Linked DNA regions of Pelodiscus sinensis. The protein of the gene in region 1 interacts with the protein of each later gene in a biochemical or structural test. Links are inferred from orthologs where the notes say so. Each region holds a gene or a part of one and is shown in the gene's direction. Other genes may lie near its edges.

The links. The genes of interacting proteins can lie anywhere in the genome.
Region 2: the proteins of CDC27 (region 1) and PTTG1 form a complex in vitro, tested with the Homo sapiens proteins (3 studies listed by BioGRID). The link is inferred for Pelodiscus sinensis from reciprocal best matches to the Homo sapiens genes CDC27 and PTTG1.

Annotation. Positions count from the first base shown.
Region 1 is NC_134739.1:6,834,671-6,842,300, forward strand, and holds the start of CDC27 (cell division cycle protein 27 homolog), read left to right. Parts: upstream 1-4,345; 5' UTR 4,346-4,503; coding exon 4,504-4,530; intron 4,531-7,630. UniProt on the Homo sapiens protein: Component of the anaphase promoting complex/cyclosome (APC/C), a cell cycle-regulated E3 ubiquitin ligase that controls progression through mitosis and the G1 phase of the cell cycle.
Region 2 is NC_134727.1:14,827,720-14,835,163, reverse strand, and holds the start of PTTG1 (securin), read left to right. Parts: upstream 1-4,135; 5' UTR 4,136-4,162; coding exon 4,163-4,257; intron 4,258-4,263; exon of another isoform or gene 4,264-4,462; coding exon 4,463-4,537; exon of another isoform or gene 4,538-4,607; intron 4,608-7,221; coding exon 7,222-7,325; intron 7,326-7,444. Other genes in the region: pre-mRNA-splicing factor SLU7, read right to left, coding at 165-318, 558-727. UniProt on the Homo sapiens protein: Regulatory protein, which plays a central role in chromosome stability, in the p53/TP53 pathway, and DNA repair. Probably acts by blocking the action of key proteins.

The DNA of each region.
Region 1 (7,630 bases):
AAACAGCACAGTACTGTTTTCCACAAAAAAGCCCCGATCGCGAAAATGGCGATTGGGGCTTTTTTACGGAAAATCGTGCCTAGATTGGCCACGGACGCTTTTCCGCAAAAAGTGCTTTTCCGTTAAAAGCTTTTCCGTTAAAAGCATTTTCAGAATATCATGCCAGTGTAGATGTAGCCGACCAGTTATTGGAGAGAGAAAATCCAAGCTGAACCTGTGAACAGTGCCCTGGTGTTTTCTCATTGCTGAGCACTTGCATCTGCAGCCTTAATAATACTCTTTTAATGCAGTGCTCTTTGTGGGCAACAGAAAAAGAATCTGCCGCTGAAATGCTACCTAAAGAGTCATTCCTGACATGCAAGAAACAATTTTTTAGCACTTCAGCATTGACAGTCCTCCCCACCTCTTCCTAAGGGTTTGTCTACATAGGGAAATTAGTCCAGATTAAGGTGACTCTAATCTGGTCCACACTGGGAATAATTCCAGAACAGCTCTACTAGGATAGCTTCAGGGGGTAGCCTAGTCTGTACAGGATAAACTTAAAAAACAACAAATAGTCTGGTAGCACATTATAGACAAACAAAACATGTAGATGGTATCATGAGCTTTCATGGGCATGGCCCACTTCTTCAGATAACCAGAGTTTTGTTAAACGGCTGGTTATTTGGGTAATTGAAGGATCATTAGATCACCATGAAAACATTGCCAGGTACTCCACTTAAAAGCTGGGGGGAAGGAAGTGTGGACTGCTGGGATCTGCATTTAGATTACTGCTGTTAAACTTCTCATAAATGAGAAAAAGGGGTAAACAATGACTACTTCACAACTGACTGCGAAGAGTTACAAAGGGATCTCACAAAACTGGGTGATTGGGCAACACAAAGGCAGATGGAATTCAGTGTTGATAAGTGCAAATTAATGCACATAAGAAAATATAATTCTAACCATACATATAAAAATGATGGGGTCTAAAATAGCTGTTACCACTCAAGAAAGAGATCTTGGCATCCTTGAAAACATCTGCTCAGTGTGCAGTGGCAGTTTGAAAACTAAAAAGCTAACCAAATATTGGGAATCGTTAGGAAAAGGAATAGATAAGAAGACAAAATATCATATTGCCTGTGTATAAAATCATTGTATGCCCACATCTTGAATGCAGATCTGGTCACCCCCTCTAAAAAAAAGATATATTGGATTTGGAAAAGGTACAGAAAGGGCAACAGAAATGATTAGGGGTAAGGAACAGAGATTAACAAGACTGCGATTTTTCATCTTGGAAAAGAAATGATTAAAGCGTAGGGGGATATGTTGGAGGTCTTGAAAACTATGAAAGCTATAGAAAAATAGAATAAGGATCTGTTATTCATTTCTGCACTAACATAACACAAGAAGATGACCCAATTAAATCTATGGGCAGCCGATGTAAAACTATAACAGGGTTCCAATAAGAACGAAATAAGTTCAAGGCGGATAGGTCCATCAATGGCTACTAGCCAGACTGAGCAGGGATGATATCCCTAGTTTCTGTTTGCCAGAAGCTAGGAATGGGCGACAGGGAATGGCTCATGATTGCCTCTTCTATTTATTCCTCTTGACATACCTGACATTGGCCAATGTTGGTAGACAGGACACTGGGCTAGAAAGACCTTTGGTCCTACCCAGTATGACCATTCTGATCCTCTTATATCGAGCTGAAATTTATCTCCCCCTTTTGTAACCCACTAGATTCCACTTCCCTTCCAGAGCTGAGAGACAGCCCACAAGTTCTGACAGGGTTTCTCTATCCCCGGATTTAGTAACTAAGTAAGAATAGACATTAACATTTTAAGGCTAAATAGTGTCCCTTAAGTGACGTGCCATAAGATGTCAGAATATGTTAGAGCTGAGTGGGTCTAATATTTATTTAATTTTCTTGTATATTGAAATTAGATTCAGTGCTCCTGCTAACTGCTAAGTTGTCAGCCAAAAAAGCAGAGTTTTCCAGTGCCTTAGTAGCCCTGGGACAGAGATGATATGGTGGGGAGGGTGGAAGGAATTGGTTCCTCCCCCATTTGGTACTTGGTTTGTACCGAGCATGCTCAGTAACACTGCTGAAAGCCGCTGTCCTCAGTTTTCCTCCCCATGCTCTCATTACCCTCCATCACGGCATGCACAGGTCGCCACTCCCCCACCAAAATCTGAAATGGCGCCCATTGCGATTTCCCTGCGAAGACAAGTTTGCACTAATTGCAAAAACTCCTCTCTCTGCTGGGCTGTCCCTGTGCTGCTGGGGGAGTGAGGGTTGCAGCCCTGGGGCCTGCCAGTTGGAGGGCAGCGCCAGGGACATGAGACATTTTCAGACTTTAGGAGTCAGTTATGGAGGAGCTTTCAGTGGCCACCAGAGGACACTGCTGCTGCACGGAAAAGGGTCACTCGGCTGCCAATAGTCCTTAGAAAAAGGGTGGACTGGAGTGGGGCTGCATACAAGGGGAAAGAGAGAGACAAGGGAGAAGGAGAGCAGGGATTGGAGAGGAAGAGGAGGGGAGGAAAGGAAAAGAGGGGAAAGGAGAGAAAGAAAAGGGCAAGGTAAGGTGAGTAGGGAAAAAAGAAGGAATAGAGAAGGAGGGGAAGAAGAATGAAATAGAGAAGAAGGAGGAGGAAAGAGGAAGAAGAGGAGGAGGGGACTGGGAGAGTGAAAGGGAAGAAGAAGAGGAGGAAGAGAGGAGGAGGGAAGGGGAAGAGAAGAGTGAAAGGGAAGGCGAGGAAGAGAGAAGGTAAGGGGAGGAGGAAGATGAAGGGGAGGGCGAGGAAGAGAGGAGGAAGGTGAGGAGGAGGGAAGAGGAAGACAGAAGGGAAGGGAGCGGGAGGAGGAAGGGGGAAGAGGAGGAAGATGAAGGGGGAGGAGAAAAATGGGAAGGGGAAGAAAAGGGGAGAAGAAGGAAAGGGAAGAGAGAGGGGAGGGGAAGGAGGAAGATGAGGAGGAAGATGAAGAGGGAAGGGGAAGAAGGAGGAAGGGAAGGAGGAAGATGAGGGGGAGAAGGAAGCTGAAGAGGAGGGAAGGGGAAGACAGAGGAAGAGAGAGGGATGGGAAGAGGAGGAGGCAGATGAAGACGGAAGGGGAGGAAGGCGGAAGGGGAGAGGAAGAGAGAGGGGAAGGTGCAGGAGGAAGATGAAGAGGGTGAGGAAGAGAGGAGGAAGGGGGAGGAGGAAGATAAAGGGAAGGGGGAGAGAGGGGCAGGGGAAGAAGAAGGTAGGAGGAGGGGAAGGAGGAAGATGAAGAGGAGGAAGGGGAAGGGGGAAGAGGAAGAGAGAGGAGGAAGGAAGAGAGAAGGGAAGGAGGGAGGAGGGAAGAGGAGGAGGAAGATGAAGAGGGAAGGGGAGGAAGGGAAGGAGAAAGATGAGGGGGGAGGGGGAAGGGGAAGAGAGAGGAGGAGGGAAGGGTTAGGGGAAGAGAGAGAGGAAGGTGCAGGAGGAAGATGAAGAGAGGAGGAAGGGGGAGGAGGAAGATAAAGGGAAGGGGAAGAGGGGGAAGGGGAAGAAGAAGGTGGAAGGAGGAAGGAGGAAGATGAACAGGAGGAAGGGGAAGGGGAAGAGAGAGGAGGAGGGAAGGGGAGGGGAAGTTGCAGGAGGAAGATGAAGAGAGGAGGAGGGAGAGGAGGAAGATAAGGGGAGAGTGGGGAAGGGGAAGGGGAAGAAGAAGATAGGAGGAGGGGAAGGAGGAAGATGAAGAGGAGGAAGGGGAAGAGGAAGGGGTAAGAGAGAGGAGGAGGGAAGGGGAGGGGAAGTTGCAGGAGGAAGATGAAGAGAGGAGGAGGGGGAGGAGGAAGATGAAGGGGAAGAAGAAGGTAGGAGGAAGGGGAAGGAGGAAGATGAAGAGAGGAGGAGGGGAAGAGGAAGATAAAGGGAAGGGGAAGGGGAAGAAGAAGAGGAGGAAGGGGAAGGGGGAAGAGAGAGGAGGAGGGAAGGGGAGGGGAAGTTGCAGGAGGAAGATGAAGGGAAGGGGAAGAAGAAGGGGAGGGAGCGGGAGGAGGAGGGAAGAGGAGGGGATGGGGAAGGGGGCGATGCGGGATTTGACGGGGCGGAGCCTGGGAGACGCAGACAGGCAGGGCTGGGCAGACCACGCCCCCCGCGCTCCGCCTGCCTGCGCCGCCCAGCCCAGCTCCTGGCGCGGGGAGCGCTCGGCTCTCTCCGTCAGCTCGGGCCTCTCGGGCGCTGCTCGGGTGTTTCCGTCTCCGTTCGGCGCTCTCCCTCCCCGCGCCTGTGGCGCGCTCCGCCCTCGGCTGTTTCCGCCCCCGCTCGGCTATTTCCGGCTCCCCTCGGCTGTTTCCGCCCCCGCTCGGCTATTTCCGGCTCCCCTCGGGTGTTCCCGTCCCCGCTCGGAGGCAGTCGGCGCCTGGCCGGCCTCCTTCCTTCCCTCCCGGGTGCCTGCCCCGGTAACGGTCGCTGCGAGTTTAAATGAGCAGGGGCCGGGCCGCGCCGCGCCGCCGCCAGGACTCGCCCCGCCGCGGGCGCTGAGGGGACAGGATGACGGTGCTGCAGGAGCCCGTGCAGGTACCGAGCCGCAGCCGCCCCGAGGCCCCGGCCTAGCGGGCCCGGCCTCTCCCGAGCCAGCCCGGCCTGGCGGGGCCCCCCCCGCCCGCCCGGCCGCAGGGGCCCCTCAGCGCCCGCCTCAGACGTGGGGCCCCGAGGCCCCGCCCCTGGAGCGGGGACCAGGCCCCGCACGGCCCGCACCGCACTGACCCGGCAGCCCCTCCCCCTGCCGGCCCGCCTCCTCCAGACCCCCCCCCCCCCCGGCCAGGCTCCCCTCGAATCTCCCAGAGGGGCCCGCCACTGGCTGGTCTCCCTCCCCCCACCTCGGCCCTGGTATCCCTGCGCTCCGTCCTGCCACAGCCCTGGGGGCCGATCGGGACCTCTCGCTTGGGCGAGGGGCTGGACACGATCCCCGCCCCAGCGGCAGAGCCTCATGTGCCTAGCTCGTAAGACAGCCGATGGAGACAGGGAGGGGGGCACGAGGGGGCAGGGAGGGGGGCACGAGGGCAGGTGGGACGAGGGGGCAGGGAGGGGGGCACGAGGGGGGCACGAGGGCAGGGGGGACGAGGGGGCAGGGAGGGGGCACGAGGGCAGGTGGGACGAGGGGGCAGGGAGGGGGCAGGGGGGACGAGGGGGCAGGGAGGGGGGCACGAGGGCAGGTGGGACGAGGGGGCAGGGAGGGGGCACGAGGGCAGGTGGGACGAGGGGGCAGGGAGGGGGGCACGAGGGCAGGTGGGACGAGGGGGCAGGGAGGGGGCACGAGGGCAGGTGGGACGAGGGGGCAGGGAGGGGGCAGGTGGGACGAGGGGGCAGGGAGGGGGCACGAGGGCAGGTGGGACGAGGGGGCAGGGAGGGGGCAGGGGGGACGAGGGGGCAGGGAGGGGGCACGAGGGCAGGGGGGACGAGGGGGCAGGGAGGGGGCACGAGGGCAGGGGGGACGAGGGGGCAGGGAGGGGGCACGAGGACAGGTGGGACGAGGGGGCAGGGAGGGGGGCACGAGGACAGGTGGGACGAGGGGGCAGGGAGGGGGCACGAGGGCAGGTGGGACGAGGGGGCAGGGAGGGGGGCACGAGGGCAGGTGGGACGAGGGGGCAGGGAGGGGGCACGAGGGCAGGGGGGACGAGGGGGCACGAGGATAGGTGGGACGAGGGGGCAGGGAGGGGGCACGAGGACAGGTGGGAAGAGGGGGCAGGGAGGGGGGCACGAGGACAGGTGGGACGAGGGGGCAGGGAGGGGGCACGGGGGCAGGTGGGACGAGGGGGCAGGGAGGGGGCACGAGGGCAGGTGGGACGAGGGGGCAGGGAGGGGGCACGAGGACAGGTGGGACGAGGGGGCAGGGAGGGGGGCACGAGGACAGGTGGGACGAGGGGGCAGGGAGGGGGGCACGAGGACAGGTGGGACGAGGCGGTAGGGAGGGGGGTACGAGGGCAGGTGGGACGAGGGGGCAGGGAGGGGGCACGAGGGCAGGTGGGACGAGGGGGCAGGGAGGGGGGCACGAGAGCAGGTGGGACGAGGGGGCAGGGAGGGGGGCATGAGGAAACAATGAGTTGATACTAGCCAGCATAATAGTGGCTAGTGCACGTCCAAGAGGGATTCTTCCCATCTCCACTGTTCCAGCCCAACTCCTTATGGAACCCCTCGATTTCTCCTTTCTGGTTTCATTCACCCTCCATGGCTGCTGTTTTTGTATTTAAATACCCACAATGTGCTTGTCACTGTGGATTACACACAAGTGAAGGGCATTCATTGTCCCAAGGAGCATGCAGTCTAAGGCCAGGTCTTCACTTGCTGCTGGATATTGATCTTCTGGTGTTAGATTTAGTGGGTGTAGGTAAGACGCCGTAAATCGAATGCCGAGGGTGGCTCCATGTGGCACTTGTACTCCTGGCTGTTGTGGAGAAGGGAAGCCGATGAGAGCGTTGGCACCGGTCTTCACAGAGGGAGGCCAACAAGAGCAGAGCTCAGCTTAAGGTAAGCAGACTCCAGTGACATATTTTACATAGCTGGAGTTGCGTACCTTAACCTGGCCTTCCAGGTCTGGTGTAGACTTGGTCTAAAAGAGACCAAGTCTCGCCTGAAAGACCCAAAGGAGGAAATAACTTTAGGTTCTTTTTTTCTCCCCCTTTTTTAAAGTCTAATTTTTTTTCCAGGATATTTTCCCTTTTTATTTTAGTCTCTTTTCAGAAGTGATACCATCTCAGAAGTTATCCGTTCTCTCTTTCCTATATCAACTTTGCCTTAGCTATCCTATCTATGTTCCCTCCCACTTCAATTTTCCCATGCTATCTCCTCTCCTTTCCCCTCCACCAGACTTCCAATCTTTTTCAGGTTTCTGTCTTTAGAAATAAATTGGGACATAGGGCTTCAAAGGTCTTGCATGCAAAATAAATTTTTTCTTGGTAACTTGTAAACTCTCCCAGCTTCTACACGGCCAAGATGCTTAGCATGCTGGACAGTTTTTCATAATGACAATAGTGAGCACAACAAAAGTATCTAATTTCTCTTGTTTCCTCTTCTCTCTAAAAAGATAGAAGGATGTAGCTTTTTGTGGGATACATCATCTACCCCACTGATTTAGCCTACACAACAAGGTGGAAGCAGTGGTGGCACTATTATTGTAGATGAGTTCATCATCTTTATGCCAAATTCTATAGGTCTGCTCTGAACCACATTAGACAACGCATTGCTGAAAACACTTCTGGCCATCTGATGCCCTTTCTCCAGTAATACTCTCTCAAGTTAGCATCTCGAGCTGGGCAGGTGGTAGCAGCAGTTGGAAATTCTAGCAAAAAGTGGCTAGTGTAGGCTTCAGTATGGAAAGAAAGTAAATGCCCGCTTACATAGATATTGTTTGCTTTCATTCACTAACATTTTTACAAATACATGCAATCAGCATCTTTTCTGCTGTCCTGATTATGGCTAACCAGGTGGGAAATATTTGATATTCTGAAATTTCCTTGGCAAAGATATGGAGTATTTTATTTGAGGTATGTTGTTTGATGTGTAAAATGGACACTTGTAATGTTATCTTCTCTAGCTTGGAAGTTCTGTTGATAACACTCTGCTTTCATTATCACACAAACCTACGGCTTGTCTACACTAGCAAATTACTGTGCTGTTG
Region 2 (7,444 bases), on another chromosome or scaffold:
AACTGAACACTAGATTTACTAAAACTTAGATTAGTTCTAGTGAAAGACTTTTCATAACAAAAATCACTGCAAGGCTAAATCAATTTCACTCCAAGAAGAATTTACTGTATTTTACAATTCTTCCCTTCCCAAAACAATAGTCCGTTTTCATCTTTGCTACACACCTCTTGAACCCCTCGTTTGTACCATTCCCCAGATGAGCTGAACTCTTTTTGCTTCTCTGGCTGAGGTCTCTGATGCTTCAATGTAGGTCTTTTTGAAGGATCTATGTACCACGGCACTGAAGATATGTACTGAGGAATATGAGGGTTGATATCTCTGTAAAAAGAAAAAAAATTAGACATGTGCTACATTGTTTATGCCATTTGAATAAGTGAAAAACAGGATAATTTTTTAATTAGCAATAATCACGCCTTGGATTAATATCATTGGCTAAGATACTGCCACTGCAGCATTAGTCTTTGTGACAGGTGGGCCAAAATAAACATTAATTATCTTAATGTAATATCTGGCTGGGGAACCATAGGTTGCTGACCCCTGCCTAAGATGAAACTTACTTTCCTTCCTCATCCACTTCAGCTGGTGCATTTCCCAGCTTTCTCTGTTCTTCTAATTCCTTCTTCTTCCTCCAGTCTTCTCTTGTCATCTTTTTTGGCTCCTCCAAACTTACATCATTTGACCCTCCCGCAGGGGTAGAGTTTATTATTTCAACTGTCCCAGATGCCATGGTCTTTTTCTTTCTGACATGAACAAATACAAGTACAATGAAAAGGATAATACATTACAGAACACTAGTACTGAAAAATGAACAATCAATATACTCTACTTTTTTATCTCTTGCAAATGAAGTAAGTAATGGCATAAAGTCTCTCTCTATAAAAAAATTTCCTGCAGGATGACAGAGTGACATCACCACATTCCTGGTGTTGCCCTGCCCCCAGGTCCAGGCAGCTCCTCTGGTGCTTACATCACTCCCCCATGGGTGGGGGTCATAGGCCACCGCCATCAGCTCCTGCCCCCACACACTGGCCACAGCTGGCTTCCCCCCACAGACCCTCCTCGTGCCACACTACCATTGCAACTGGCCGGCCCCAAGGCCAGAATGTGTACCTCCACCTTTCCCACTGACCAGCCTCTTTTCCCAAGGCAGTGAGTGAGGCTGGAGCGCCAGCACAGTCTCCCTGCTGCAGGAGGAGCAGGGATGGGGCTGAACTGGAGCTGGTGAGTGAGGGGGTTAGGGGTACATGATCTCAGCAGGGCGGTGAGTGACAGTGGTGGAGGTGGTGAGTCTCGGCTGGGGGGGGGGCAGGTTGGAGCACCAGCCTAGACTCCCAGCATGGTACCAGCCCACTCACTCACCACCCTGTCGAGACCATGCACCCCATCCCCTCACTCACTGTCCTGCCAAGACCTCACACCCTCAGCCCCTTCATTCATACCCCCCAAACCAAGACCCCTGTAATGGACAGAAGGAGTGCTGACCAGCACCCAGTGAATGAGGGGTTAAACTCAGGTAGCTAGTAGACCACTGGAGATAGTGGGATGAAATTTGAATTGTATAAGATTCCTTGCATGCCTTCTTTGTGTGGGAGGGAAAAACCAGGAGTTGAAAGACATAGAATGATTTAAACCCAGGCAGGACTACCATGAGTCCAAGGAATTCAGGGAATGGAAGTGGACTGAACCAAGAAAAGAATGGAAGTAAGTAATGGGGAAAAAAGTGAATCTAGTTGCGTTCAGGGTATTTTTTTTATTTTGTGGTTTGGTTTGAACTGCTGTGTGAATCTATGCCTCCACGTTTACCATATCGCATTGTGCCCAGAGTCTTTTCTCTGTTTTAATTTGTTTTCCTTAGTTGCTCTGTAACATCTAGCAACCAAGAATGCTTTATCAAGTTTACCTTTTGTTTTGTAATAAAAGACACTTTTTTTAGCTGATGATTTGATTCTAGTGTCCTGGAAGGTCGGTCTGTCTGTGTGTATCTGCCTGCCTCACACTGAGAGGTCAGCTACTGGAGACTGTAGCTTGTTTTCCTCTTTTCTTTTTCAAGCTCTTTTAGGGCAAAAGAGCTAGGGGTAACCTTGGCAGTAGGTTCAAGTGTTCACCCCTGGTTTTTTTAGGGATAAAAATCACTTGATGGTGGCAGTGATCCCCCAAAATTTGCATATTGTGATTCTAGGGGGAAGATTTTTGTAATCAGTGCTATAGAAGCAAAGGTATCTTTTTCTTTTAAGCTCTTTGCAGGCCCCCATCTTCTGTACTAGGAGTGCTTGAGTGGGGAACAGCCCTGACAATCTCACACACCCAGCCACCTCATGCACCTCTTCCACAGAGATCCTGCTCCCTCTGCCCACTTCTGCACCTTCCCCCATAGCCAGACACTTACCCTGAGCCTGCTCCTGCTCCCTCCACCTGGCCAGACACCTGTCTCCAGAGAGGTAGGTAAGTGTGTGTGTGGGGGGGGGGGGGCGAGGGGCGGGAGACTGGGGGAGATTGGTGAGCGTAGCTCTCACACTCTATGGCTGCAAAAGTGGTGGGGGTGGGTGGGTTGGCAAGCATAGCGAGCAGGGGACATAGCCCCCTTGAATTGTTTTTTAATAAATATCTAAATGGTTTCAGGACTCTCACGAACATGCTTTGTGATGCAAGCAGAAAACGTACCTTTATCCAGTACTTCTGCAGAGACTCCAGGGCATTTTATAAACATACATGAAATAAGTATTACAAAAATCAAGTGAAGCTGAGGAGTGCTATGCCAATCTCACTAGCCGCTTTACCCAAGGAATACGTCAGGCACACAGCTGACTATAAAACTCAGGAATCCGGTCTGAAATCATACAAATCAGGAGCTACTCACCAGTTCTCACTACCGACTAGGCTGGCCCCGGAAGTGAAGGTGCGGCCCTGGTCCCCTACTTCAGCTACGGCTCCACTCCTCTCCCGCAGAGCCGCGAGCCGCGGGACAGGAACCGCGGCAGGTTCTTGTCTGCACAGCCCGGCCTGCGTTGTGATCCGGAGGCCGGGCCGGGGATCATGCGCAGCCGGAGGGACTCTCAGCACCGAGGCATCCACGGACCCCTCGCGAGGGAAACTGAGGGAGGAAGGGGGAGTTACGCGGTGCCTAGCCCCGCAGACAGACGCCACCGCAACGCCTCCGGCTCGAGAGCGGGGCCTGGCGCGGTCACGAGGCGCGACGCAGCCGTACCCCCCCTGGAGCGGAACAGGCCTCAGCTCCAGCTCCGAACGGGTTTACCGATTAGATCTCGGCTCATTCTCCCCTCCCCCCCCGCTCCCACAATGCATCGCGCCGCCGGCCCTGGCTCCGTCTCTTAAAGGAACCTGTTCCCTGCTCCGAACGCAGCTGTACCCCGGGGAAGGGGCAGGTGCTGCGGGCCCCCAGTGCACGGACGGAGCTGGGCGTGCACAGGACTCAGGCATGGCACGCCCGGAGGTTGGTCTGCGAACCCGAGCGACACCGCAGAGCCCTGCAAGAAGCAGCGGCCGGACCAGGCGCTGGCTGGGCGGTAGCCACCTCTGCCAGGCGGCACCCAAGGGCCCCTCGACTGCCCTTTGGCGGCACTTATGCAATTTCCCGTGACAAGAAAAGACTCGAACGGCACCGAATTGGCCTCCATCCTGCCCCCCTGGCGTCCACACGGTCTCTGTGTCCATCCCAACCCAAACGGGTCCGGGTTACACCGGCTTGAAGCAAGAGCTGTGGAGCTGCGGTCTGGACATTGTTGGGCTGGGGGTGACACACGCAGATGTCGGTGTGGTCTTCGGCTGATGTAGGGCCCAGAGCTGAGCAATGCTTATGAAACAGCATGGCCGTGAACAACGAGCTGGTTTATTCGCTGGAGAGAACAGGACAACCAAGAGGCCGAACCATGTGAACTGCCCCGCGGGGCCAGTGACATGCGGAGCAAGCAGCATTCACGGCTCCTCCCGTAAAGCTTCCCCGTCTCATGCAACGCGACAAGTGTAGTGGGCAAGAATTAGGCCTGATTAGGCTCCCTCCGCTGCCAGGCTTCCGGCCGCCCCCAGACTGACAGCAGCTCGAGCGACCTAGAAACACCCACTCACCCGTCGGCTCTGCAAAACTAGCCAATCAGCAGCCGAAGCGTTAGTTTTCGTGTCAAGCAGCCAATGGGAGGAGAGGTGGATGTTTAAAAATGGCCTCGCGGGTAGTGGCGCGCGATGGCTCGAGGTGCTGGCGTGTGGCCGTTTGCGCGGTTCCGTAGCTGGTGCGCGCTCTGGGTTTGTCCTTTTCGAAATGTCCCTTCCGCGTGCGCTTGCAAGCGAGGCCGCGTCCTCCAGTGAGCTGCGCTGTTTCCGCCTGGGGGCTTAAGCGGCGGCGGGGCTCGTGTTCAATCTCCCCTGCTAGTGGCTTTCCCGCGGCAGTGGCGGCTGCAGCTCAGCTGTGGCTTCTGGGGTGAGGGCTCAGGCTGTGTCTCCTCCGCAGGCGGGGTTGGCCTTGTCTCTCCGAAGAGTCGCATTGTTTTGCCTTCCCCGACTGCCTCCTGGGGGTCTTGGCCGGGTAAGTGCTCGCCCTTCTGAGCAGGACCTGGGAGAACTTTCCAAGTGTCCTGTAACTCTCACGCTGCTAGGTGAGTGTAATTCTTTGCCTGGATAACGCTCCCTGGGGACTATCTCCTGAGGGCACAGTCTGCACTCATCCCTTACATTGTTTACCTGCCAGTGATACCCTACTCTGCTGTTCAGAACTGCTTCAATACATCATTTCACTTCCTTTTTATGGTCAAAAGGATGTGAAATGCTCATACTAGTGTTGCTCTGGGAATTGGTGATGAGGGGTTCTTCATTGAATGATTTGTTCTGAGGCACTTGGCTTTTGCTACTGTTGGTAGTCTGACCTGGTATGGTGGGGTGAGGAAATCTCTTGTCCTGAGGTCAGCACTGGGTACAGAAATTGTATGGAAGGCTGGGGGAGGGAGTGCCTTCCCCAGATAGCCAGGTGTGGCCTACTACTTTCCCCCCTAGCCTCTTCCTGTCCCTTGGCCAAACCATAAGATTTATATGCCCCATCCAACCCCAGATAGTGCTGCCCAGAGGACTGAAGCTGCAGAGTGACTGCATGTCTCTGGCACTGGAGGAGCTGAGGCTGTAGGGAAGAGGTGGCAGAAGGGGAAAGACTGGGAGCTAGTATCCCTGGGTGGCTAGATAACTGGCTGTACTGGTGCTATTTGGGAGTTGGGTTGGCTCCTCCTGGCAAGGCTATCCTGTTCCCTGGCTGGGTTTGAGGTTTGATTGACTGGATGTTATCTGTAGGTTATTGTTTGTCTTGTAGCAGGTCAGAACTTGTTGCCACAGTCTTTCCTGCTGGTCTCAGGAACTAGCTTGTCAAAGCTGAAGGCACTCGGGTCTCTCCTTAAATTACCTGTCTTCTGCACTGGTTCAGGTCTTGGTGCCCTTTCCTGACTGTACTGCCTGATGATGATGATGATGCCCACCCCCTGCACACTCTGCAGTCCCCCCTTCCCAAGGGACCCCAAACCTCTAACTATATTTCCTCAGTGACCCACTGCCTGTTGTCTCAGGTACCTTCTCTCTAGCTTACCCAAGCAGCCAGGCCCATCCTGCGCCACATCTGGTGCAAGAATCCCCTCCCCTCCAGGAGCCCCTGTTTACAGTAATCCAGCTGCTTTCTGATTGGCTGTGGTTTGCCTTAGCTGCTGGCTTCACAGTCTCAACCTTCTACCAGAGTTGGGTTTAAGGAGGGGAGTGACTCTCCTACTATAGCCCCCCTCTGTGGTATGGCTATTCTTATGTCTAGTTACTGCTACTTCATGCTACTACTAGGCTATGTCTACATGGCAGGCTTCTTGCGCAAGAGTTCTTCTGCAAAAAGGTCTTGCGCAAGACCATGTCCACATTGCCATGTGTTTTTGTGCGAGAGCCGCCATGGTGGTGTGGACACTTGCACAAGAAAGCTCTGATGGCCATTTTAGCCATAGGGGTTTCTTGCGCAAGAAACCCCTGTTCCCGTCCACACTAGCCTTCTTGCACAAGAGGGCTTATTCCTCATGGGGAGAGGAATAACTCTTACACAAGAAGCCCTCTTTTTCTGATGCTTTACTGTAAATTTACTTGCGCAAAAACACGTGCAGTGTAGACGCTCCACAATTTTTTGCGCAAGAACAGCTGTTCTTGTACAAAAAGCCTCAGTGTAGACGTAGCCCTACTGTGTTGGTGCAGTAATGCTAATTGGGGTTGAACAATTATCCAGTAATGTTCTCACTTTATCAGGCTTCCATGATGATTAATCCAAGGTTGAGGAAACAGACTTGTCTTCTCTTTGCTCCTAAAGTTACAATAAGATTAGATGAGCCAATCAGAGGCACAAATTATTCTAGTGTGGAAAAATCAAGTTAGTACCCCTTTGAGTTTCTCTTAACAGTACTTCCAAGCTCTCTAAGTTGCCTCTTTCTGACAGTCAGCTCCTGATAAAGTTAACTACTAAAGCAGGCTGGAAATAATGTGCTTGGGCTTCCAAATTGATAGTTTGTCATTTTTGGTATTATAGAGGGAACATTAATTTGCACTTGCAAATCTTGCTAACAGGTGAACAAACAATGCATTAAGATATACTTAAACAACTTTGTTTAGGTTTATTGTAGTTTAGGAATAAACATTTACATATTGTAAAAAATAATCCTGATCCTACAACATCAGGCAAGATTTGCAAGAATATGATCAAAATAAGGTAGTGTATTTGTGTATGCCAATGTAATCTGAATTCAGGTGCCACCTAACTGGAAGGTTTAAATAGTTAAAAGCCTACATCTTTGTACTGCTGTGCAAAACAGGGACAGGTCCATCCAATGTTCCCTGTAGTCTTTCCATCCCATGTGTAGATTTCTTCCTTCCATGTGCAGAATAAATTGTGTGCACTGAGGCATGTGCAAATATGCATGTGCCATCAAGAGAAACACAAATTTAGCTGTGGGCGCTCTGCTAATCAGCTGGGTGGCATTGGAATTTGCCTTGAGTGGCTCTACAAGTTCAAAGCTTACAGAGAACACTGGGCAAGTCTCACTTAAACTCTCATCTACAAAATGTCAAATGGACAGCATAGTCAATATCAATATCTCAACGCATGTTTTGTATGAAGAGACACCAAAACCATGACTGTTCTCACTGTTTGTTCCCAGAGGATTTTTCAGTAACTCAATAAGTGATTTTTATTTTTTTTTCTTGCAGTGATCTTGTCAAGCTGAAGATGACAACCCTTTCCTTCCTAGACAAAGAGAATGAAGGAGATGTTGCTGCTTCTAAGGAACGGTTAAGGTTGTCCTCAACATCTTGTGAGTATATTACTACAGAAATTAAACTTTAACTCTCTTAACTAAAGCAAGGTATCTAGTGAAATAAACCAGGAATACACTTGATTTGCTGTTTCTTCATATGTAAAGAATAGCATGAC